Linked DNA regions of Kluyveromyces lactis. The protein of the gene in region 2 purifies or fractionates together with the protein of the main gene of each other region. This does not show direct contact. Links are inferred from orthologs where the notes say so. Each region holds a gene or a part of one and is shown on either strand. Other genes may lie near its edges. The genes, in order: SMU2, FAP1 and FPR1.

What was found.
Region 1: the proteins of FAP1 (region 2) and SMU2 purify together in Saccharomyces cerevisiae (affinity purification with mass spectrometry; 3 studies listed by BioGRID). This does not show direct contact. The link is inferred for Kluyveromyces lactis from reciprocal best matches to the Saccharomyces cerevisiae genes FAP1 and SMU2.
Region 3: the proteins of FAP1 (region 2) and FPR1 purify together in Saccharomyces cerevisiae (affinity purification with mass spectrometry; 3 studies listed by BioGRID). This does not show direct contact. The link is inferred for Kluyveromyces lactis from reciprocal best matches to the Saccharomyces cerevisiae genes FAP1 and FPR1.

The regions. Positions count from the first base shown.
Region 1 is NC_006042.1:999,458-1,002,119, forward strand, and holds SMU2 (Smu2p), read left to right. Parts: upstream 1-1,441; coding exon 1,442-2,068; downstream 2,069-2,662. Other genes in the region: KLLA0_F10835g (Zn(II)2Cys6 transcription factor domain-containing protein), read left to right, coding at 1-325; POT1 (acetyl-CoA C-acyltransferase), read right to left, coding at 2,169-2,662.
Region 2 is NC_006041.1:747,194-751,446, forward strand, and holds FAP1 (Fap1p), read right to left. Parts: upstream 2,845-4,253; coding exon 79-2,844; downstream 1-78. Other genes in the region: LYS12 (homoisocitrate dehydrogenase), read left to right, coding at 3,477-4,253. UniProt on the Saccharomyces cerevisiae protein: May play a role in transcription regulation.
Region 3 is NC_006037.1:1,009,961-1,012,444, forward strand, and holds FPR1 (peptidylprolyl isomerase FPR1), read right to left. Parts: upstream 852-2,484; coding exon 507-851; downstream 1-506. Other genes in the region: EAF7 (Eaf7p), read left to right, coding at 1-208. UniProt on the Saccharomyces cerevisiae protein: PPIases accelerate the folding of proteins. It catalyzes the cis-trans isomerization of proline imidic peptide bonds in oligopeptides.

The DNA.
Region 1 (2,662 bases), on a different chromosome or scaffold from region 2:
GGTGTACTTTCTTGATGTTGATCCAAAATCTCCTGAGATCAAAAGTATTCTATACACAATGGTGAAAACTTCTTATAGCAACCCTTATTACTCATCTTGTGGGGTGTGCTGCCATCCATCGTTGTTCGTAGGAGCACTCACATGTATTATAGCTGAAGATGATGTGCTTTATGTCCATTTCATCGACCTTTTGAGTAAAATCACCGACAGCGGAATGGCAGTTGCTAAAAATAGTGTAGACAAGCTAAACGCCATCAAAGCTAATGTTGCAATTGGTGCTTATCAGAATATCATCAATCCTGATCATGACTTTATCCCCATCTAAGTTAATATTCCCTTTCAATGTCCAAAAAAATAACGAAGTCAATCACTTTAAATGAATCCTCTAAACTGGAACAAATATCATGCCAAAGTTGTACTATTTCAATTATAATATAGAAGAATATAGATTTTCAATCAGTTACTTATTTATCTTGATGTGTGAGAATATATATATATATCTCCCATCCAAAATTCATTCAATTAAGAAACAGCTTTTTTAGCGCACAGATTCAAGTTTTTTACGGAATTTTTCTGTTATTGTTTTGAGTTTAAGGTTCAGTTTAGGGAAAAAATGCTCTTCAAGTCGTTATTAATTCGGAATTAAAATACAAAAATGGCGTATCCTGCATATTTAAACAAAACATAGAACGGTCGATGCAGCGCTCAAAAATGTAACAAAGGAGAAAACAGCAGAGAGTATGTCGTGCCACAAATTTTTTACGGAATGCTAACTAGAGATTAAATGGTGATAGTATTCCTAGATTTACTTATGTTGACCGTCAAAAACCTCAATTAACTAAAGGAAAGCTCGTTTTTTGCTTTAAATAGGAAATGTTTTCCACGGAAGTCTAAAAAAGTTGTAGTATTCTTTAATAAATTTCAAAAAGATGAGGAAGATCATGATCTTCGAGATTTTGTTTGTTGCCTTCTCGATACCATCAAAGAACAGTATTAGAGGTGAACACCTGAAAGCTCAGAAGCCACGTAATAGTCAAAACATCATAATTCAGAAACTAAGGAGGTTGAATATCAAGTTTGATAGATTGAATTCACTTTCAAATCTCCAGAAATTGACCGCCAATGACTATATGTTTCTTTATTCGATGCCTTCAGGAATGAGTCGGTATTCATTGAGGCAGTGTCGCAACTCTGGTCACGTTTTTTCTACAACAATCAGGTACCAATTTTGTGAAAAAAAACTGAAACTTTATGCATTTAGGCAGTAGACATGGTAAGTTAATGAAATATGAGATGAGATCAGTTTATAGAGAATGAGGGAGCTATGAAAAAGAACTTAAGCTATATAACCATTGGTATCTCAACCGTTTCAGCGTACTCTGCTCGGTAGATATTATTTTGAGAGATTCTAAATATCAGGCCAAGCAATCGGGTTACCATCATGTCTGCGAAAGCTGCAGGAAAAGTTGAGAATGGCGTAATTAAACATACGAAAGAGAGTGAAGCTGACAAGAGAAAAAATGCTGGACATAGTTATAGGAGGAAGAGAGGGAGACGGTCAAAGGCAGAAAAATCAGTACCTGCAGAGAAGGCAACCAGTCTTGAAATTACCGCCAAATCATCCCATAATGAAAATGCAGAGAAAAAATTCAAATTGAGAAATGCCTTGAAGTTGCAAAGAAAAGCCGAAATTGACCAATTGTGCCATTTGGCTGGGTCAGATATTGTAATGTTAAGGAAAGGACAATATGTCACGACCTACTCGCTAACGTTTATTACCACTGATCAAGATCAGAATCAAAAGAAAGTGAAATGTGTTTTCAACATTCCGGTCGATTATCCTCAATCCGCCATAAAGCTAAGTAAACCGAAAGACTGTTCTTCAGATGACCCGTTATCACGAATTGTAAACAATTTCAATTATAAATCAAAAGCTTTACTCAAAGATAAACAGCCGCTAGTTATACAATTAAACTATTTGGTTACCAACTGGAATTCTTTGCAGTCTCCGGAGTATATAAATAGGGACACGGTACAGAAGAATCTGATGTCAAAACTCTCTGATTGAAAAAAAAACACAGTAGCGAATAATATGAGTTACTCATCATATTCATCGAAATGGTCATTACAGAAGAGGGAAACTACATTATACACACGTTAATATTCACTCACTCCTTGACGAAGACTGCAGCAGCTCCCATACCAGTACCGATACACATGCTAACAACACCAATTTGACCAGCGTCTAATTCCCTTAATATGGTAGCGACTTGTCTGGCACCAGTGCAGCCCAAAGGATGACCTAAGGCAATCGCGCCTCCCCTTGGGTTCAATTTCTTCTTGTCGATTTTTAGATGGTTGACACAGAAAATGGCCTGCCCTGCAAAGGCCTCATTAATCTCGTAAACATCAACATCGTTGACATTTAAACCACAGTCTTTGAGGACTCTTGGAATCGCATATGCTGGGCCAACACCCATGATCTCAGGTGGAACACCTACTGCCTGGAACGCAACGTACTTACCAACGATTTCCAAACCCAATTTCATGGCCATGGATCTTCTCATTAGCAACACACCAGCAACACCATCTGATATCTGAGAAGCGTTACCGGCAGTTGTCACACCTGTTTCCTTCACAAATGCAGGTTTAATCTTTTGTA
Region 2 (4,253 bases):
GTGTTATGCATGAAAAGTCTGTAGACTATAGGTGCGTCAGTTTTTTTATATATGTACTTTTTTGGCCGGCTTTTTCTCTTATGCTTGAGACACTAGGGACAAATTCTCATCAACTTGACACATTTCCACACCTGTAGCCAACATTTGATCTTGTAGTGCTGTCTTTATAAACGGAATGACTTTTTCCATATCACTTGCAGTGTTTTTTGTTATACCCGAATAATTCTCTGGGAAAATCAAAACTGAGTTTAAGTCTTTCAAGAAGCGATATTGAGGTGTTTTCACTAAAGTATACTTCAAGAAATCATGCACCAGAGGTTCGATATTATCTATTTGGCTTGAATCGAACACTCCGGAAATGACTATTGCATTAGGGCCCTCGTATGGGGCCGGTAAAGGTGTCTCGGATGCGGGGATATTAATTAAGGTTTTCGTGACTTTTGTTGAGTAATGTTCTTGCATTCTTTCCTTTTCTAATGTTTTAAATAGTTGATAGAGTTCTGATGCGTCCTTGAGTGTTAACTCCGGCTTCTTAGATTGTGATTGGATCTTTTTTAGGTAAACTGATCTATTTGGTTCTCGATCTTGACTTTCGGAGTAGAGAGCGTATGCAGATGCCAACTCTTTGATAAATTGACGCTGTGGTACTCTCATTGGTTTCAAATGAAGACTTAATTTTTGAGTGTCCTCTATGAATTTATCAAAAACAGCACAAATTTGATCACACCAGTTCACTTGTTTTTTGTAAACGTTCAAGACCAATTCAGAGTAAGGCATATTTAGATCATCAAATTTTTTAGCAACAAGAACAATGGATTCCAGTTGCTCTTTTGTATTTTTGGGCTTTTCATTCATCCCAAAAGCCTCCATCAATTCCATATGCCTTTGCAACTTTGCACATTCTTCATCACATGGCAATTTTTCAGTTTCTGATCTACTTTGAGTGTCGTGGGTAGCACCACACTCAACCTGTTTTGTTCGACGATTGCAGTCACAAGTGATGACGACTTTTTCATGGCATACTTTCTCCGGACATGGTGAATTACCATGACATTTTTCTTTACAAAGATGTCCACATAAACTTCTTTTCAACCCGCATGGTTTGGCACATTTGATTTCGCATTCTCCTTCAACATGACATTTCTTCTGACATTTGTGATGACATGTTGCTAATGGCAGCCCACATTCGGTACCACAGGCCACCTGAGAGTCTGGAACAAGACACAACGTACGCATATCGTGCTTTTTGTAACATCTGCATTTTTTAATCACGTTAGCCGTACAAGGAGGACAGTCTGTACCGGCAGGATGACATTTATGAGGTCCAACTCTATGTCCGCACGGAGCTGGGCCCTCAGAAATTTTTATACAAGGATTTGGACACGGAGGTAGTTTGGTACCACACCTAACAGGAGCTGGAACGACAGTCTTCCCGCACGGGCATACCAAATCATTTGGATCCGATTCCAAGCATGGTGGGCATTTGCCAGGATGGCACTTCCATGTACAATCATGTATCCCACAACTCAGTTTTAAATTACATTGTTTTAAGCAGACATGTTCAGGCTCTACTAGAGTCTCATTGTTAAGGTCTCTTTTCAGGAACAAAGTTTTCTCTCGCTTCTTAGCAGCTGGTTTCCCCGAACAACATATTTCCATGCATTTGTGTCTTCTACAGGACATATTCGATTCGCATTTGATGTTACAGCGAGGGGTATCATGAAGCTGACAAGGAGTAAGAAACGTCTTCGAGTGACATGTACATGGAGTCTTTGTAATAATTAAGCATGGGTCCATACAATCACCTGTATGACATGAAAAAGGACACGTATGTTTCCCGCACGATAACTGTTTCCCACATACATTGGAACATGTCGGAATCGTATCAGTACATTTCCTCCTGGGTTTATCCAGCTCTTTTAGCATAGTTTTTCCACAAGGACATGTCTTGAGAGTCTTGGGAGAAAATGGACAGGGTCTCGACCTATCTATACCTGCAGGCGCAAGACATTGCTCCACGTATGTATGGTGATCACAAGAATAATGTAAAGTTCGAACCTCGCCACATGAATACACACCGATCCATTTTTTGCCACTCACATCTTTAGAATAGTCCAAAACTCTAAGATCGGAACATTGAATCCCAGACTTAACATCAGAACCACAATAGCAAGGCAATTCTGTTTTTATTATACTTTCACAGGGACCACAAAATCCAGTATGGCAAGTCTTTTGGCAAGTGTGTTTTCCGCAAGGCAAAAGTAAACCACAAACATCACCGCAATTATAGGAGTTTCCTAGAACTTTAGACCTAGAACAAGGGATTTGCTTACAGTGTTTTCCACATTTGCATTTAATTTGCACAGGGATCAGGCACTCAGGATGTGGACCGAGATGACAAACCTTGGAACAACCATGTACGCATGAATATGCATTGCAAGTTTGACCACAGGAATTAGGATCTAGCTCATTAACATCTGGATTGACAACTTTTCCACACCAACAGGTACTTCTTTTCTGTTTTGGAATCTTATGGTTGATTTTGTAACAGTTGGGACACTTCCAAGACTTATCTAACGTTTTGTTTGTAGATTTTAAAGCCCATTCCCTGACACATTCGTAGTCGAAAACTCTATAACAGGAATCACACGCATACATCCGACATGTAGAATCAAGCTCCACTGTACAAATCATGCACACATACTGATCACCATCTTTGATTTCTTTAACGGTTTGCTCATAGTAAGGAATATTGGTATCTTCATCGTTATCACTGTCAAAATCCGAATCAGAGGAATAGAGCCTTGGCTCACTTTCTGGGTATATTAGCTCTTCAGCAGTCATTTCTAATTCAACTGCTGCGATCAAGTGACGCGTTTGATGGAATGGACGCTTATATTTTAGATTTAAGCTAAGAGTCGGTATGACGGGATGAGATGAGATGACTTTTACATACAAAAACGTGAAAAAAAGTGTAAAGGCAGCAAAAGAAAAAAGAGAGAATTGTACCAAAATCCGTATAACCTAAAACCTGTACTGACGACAAAATCCCATCGATATCGAACTAGCAATGCTATATGCTGCAACATCAGATCTAGAAGTCCTCCTTGATGTGTCAACATATATGTTTATGTATTACGTGAAGGCATACGGTTATCTATCGTTTAGTCACCTGACTACTTTCAAAATGCTCGAAAGGGAGTTTTCAGTTTCCCAATGAATCGCAGATAAATTCCTGTGGAAATTCGAAATTTCATCAACCAGTCATTGGGATCATTGAAAGAAATATGAGTTACAGGAAACTGAATAACCTGTAAACTATAAATACACCCCAGTGTTACGATTTGGATTGGATTGCAGCTGTAGTTGATTCTGTGAAAACCATCACATTTTACTTTGTTTTAAGGTTATCGAACTACTTGTCCCGAAGATCAAGCAGCGAATTGTTTCATTTCGCTATATAACAACCATTCAATATGATGAGAACACGTTTCATTCAATTGTCCCGTCGTGCTTACGCTTCCAATGCGAAGAATTTAACAATTGGTTTAATTCCAGGTGATGGTATTGGTAAAGAAGTTATTCCTGCTGGTAAGAAGATCTTAGAATCATTGAACCCAAAGTACGGTCTATCGTTTAAATTCATTGATTTGCAAGCTGGTTGGGAAACCTTCCAAAACACCGGTAAGGCACTCCCTGACGAAACCATTGATATCTTGAAGAACCAATGTGAAGGTGCTTTATTTGGTGCTGTGCAATCACCAACGACTAAGGTTGAAGGTTACTCTTCTCCAATCGTTGCCCTAAGAAAGAATTTGGGACTTTTCGCTAACGTTCGTCCTGTTAAATCTGTTGATGGTACTAAGGACAGAAAAGTTGACCTAGTCATCGTTAGAGAAAACACTGAAGATTTATACATTAAATTGGAAAAGTCATACATCGATGAAGCCACCGGAACCAGAGTTGCAGATGCTACCAAGAGAATTACCGAAATAGCAACCAAAAACATTGCTACTATCGCTCTACAAATCGCTCAACAGAGATTGGAACAGAACGGTCATGCCACTTTAACAGTTACTCACAAATCCAATGTTCTTTCACAATCTGATGGTCTTTTCAGAGAGGTATGCAGAGAAACTTATGAAGCTAACAAGGACAAGTACGGAGGTGTCCAATATAATGAACAAATCGTCGATTCCATGGTTTACAGAATGTTCAGAGAACCAGAATGTTTCGACGTTGTTGTTGCACCA
Region 3 (2,484 bases), on a different chromosome or scaffold from region 2:
GGAATCAGCTAATTCGCCGACAGGGAAAGCAGAAGAGAACGAAACGGAATCATCTCAACAGCCGCGCCCTAAGAAACAAAAAGTTGCCGCTGCGGAGGAAGTTCCTGAAGATCTTGCCGACGTGGATTCTCCAGCTAGGAGAACAAGAAGAAAATCCATAACAAAACCAACTACAAGGCTCTCGAGCAGGCTTAGAAGCAGGAAGTAGTTGTTCTTGATTGTTTTTTCAATAATGCAATAACAACATAATATAGCTAATGGTTTATATTATAGGCATTTCGTTGATGTACAAAAATTGAATGTTAAAATGGAAGCATACAAACACTACGGCTACAATTTGATAGCAATTCCCATGTTGAAAGGTTGATGAGAAGGTACGGAAAGATGTAAAGCTATAATAATAATAATGGATGGGACCAATTGGAAGGAATCAAGGGAGAAACCAAAGAAAAAATGTGAAGGAAATTAATAGTATGTGTTTTATTCAGAAGAATGACATTATACATCTAGTTAATCTTCAACAATTCAACATCAAAGACTAAAGTAGCATTTGGTGGGATCAAACCTGGGAAACCACGTGGACCATAAGCGTATGGGCCTGGGATAGTTAGTCTTGCCTTTTCACCAACGGACAACTTTGGAATAGCAGCATCCCAACCCTTGATAACTTGACCTACACCAATGTTACATTGGAATGGAGAACCTCTATCAACGGAAGAATCAAACTTTTGACCGTTTTCCAAAGTACCAGTGTAATGGATTGTTACCAAATCGCCTGGTTTTGGGAAGTTGGTACTGTCACCTGGTGATAATCTTAGAATTTGAACGTTACCTTCAATTGTTTCGGACATTGTTTCTGCTGTTTGATGTGTGATAGCTGAGTTATTTTAAAACTGCAATACAATAACGGATTAAACTGACACAAAATAGCACTCAATTGGCCTCGTAATTGCAACAGTTTCGTGTAGAATGTAGGAATCCTTATTATAGAAATGAAAACTTTTTGTTTTCTGAACGATAATGATTTCTAGAAGCAGTGGTAACGTATTTAATGACTTCAAGACTTTCAGCATTTGTCACGTGACTGCATTCTTTCTTTCTTACTTAAGCAATCACTTTTCGCGGAAACATGCCTGTAAGAGGTTTGAGCAGACGCAACGGCAGCACAGCCAACATTCAGGTCAGTTCAAATAAAGATCATCGAACCTTTTAGCATAGGGTTTTTAAATCACCTGAAATTGTACATTCCTGAACAACAACCGACGTCACTAAGCCGTACTACATCGAATATCCTACGAAATATCTCATTTGCTATTATGCTCTGTCCGCATCTGTATGTCCAGAAGTGTTTGAGATTTATAATTGCTTGATAATTAAAAGGTGAATAACTATAGCAAGAGCCAGGTTTTCAAAACTTTGAGGTATGGTGCTTTGTAATTCAGCCCTCATTTGCTTTATTTAGAATTAACGCCTCGATACCTGTTAAGGGAAAGTGAGCAAATTCTTGGTTACTGGGTCTAGAAGAGAACATTTCTGGAAAAGCAGGTTGATCCTAATTGTGCTGGTCAACTTGTAGTCGAGTAGATGTGAATTCACAGTAGCACATCGACTCTTATTCATAAACGGAATTGGTGATACTTAGAGCGGCTTATTAGCTAACATGTTATGAAGTTTCATTTAGTATTGCAAAATATTCCGTTGACTGAGCCGCAGAAAAGAAACTGCCCAGCGAATATGTTACGTCGTACAAAAATGTACATAGTCTTGCAATTCAGTTCCGTAACCATGGGCTATCGAATGAAAGGTGGACTAAAGAGTTCTCCGATTTCGTCTTCACAGTTTCTCAATGACGGATCAAATGGTTCTTCCGCATTTTTTGCCTATTCTGTTAATACCACTGAAAGCAAGTTTCGACTCGTGCACTGTTTCATACTGTTTCTAGGCCCACAGGCTGAAATAAAGTTATTCGCGTTGATCGTTTCTTCTTTGTACATTCAAACTTCTTTTCTTTTGTTACCACTTTCAGCCAACTAACCTGCTCCTAGTGATGATGTATTGGAATTTCACATAAGACACTGTAGTCATTTCACAAGATACCCACAGTTTTCTGGTGCAAGGTTTAATACCGAGCACACTATTGTAAGTCCATATCCGTCTTGATCTCGCTATTTTCGGAATATTCTCTCAACTCGAATCCCATTCCTTGCTGAATGGTTGTCTGAGGTAAGTCAAGTAACATGCAGTTTTAGGAAAAAAGTCTCGAAGTCTTAATTGATCAGTTAATCAAGCTTAACTCTGCTCTGATTCAAATTCACTGCCCTCTCCACACATTTAATCCACGATATCCTCTCGCTGAACACACACATTTTGAGCCACTCGCATTTGAATTTGGTACCGAGAGACTAGACCAAATTAATCTGCCGTCATAATAGAATTAAACAAATTATGTGCCGTGAAACCATGATATTTGTAGCGGAATAAGAT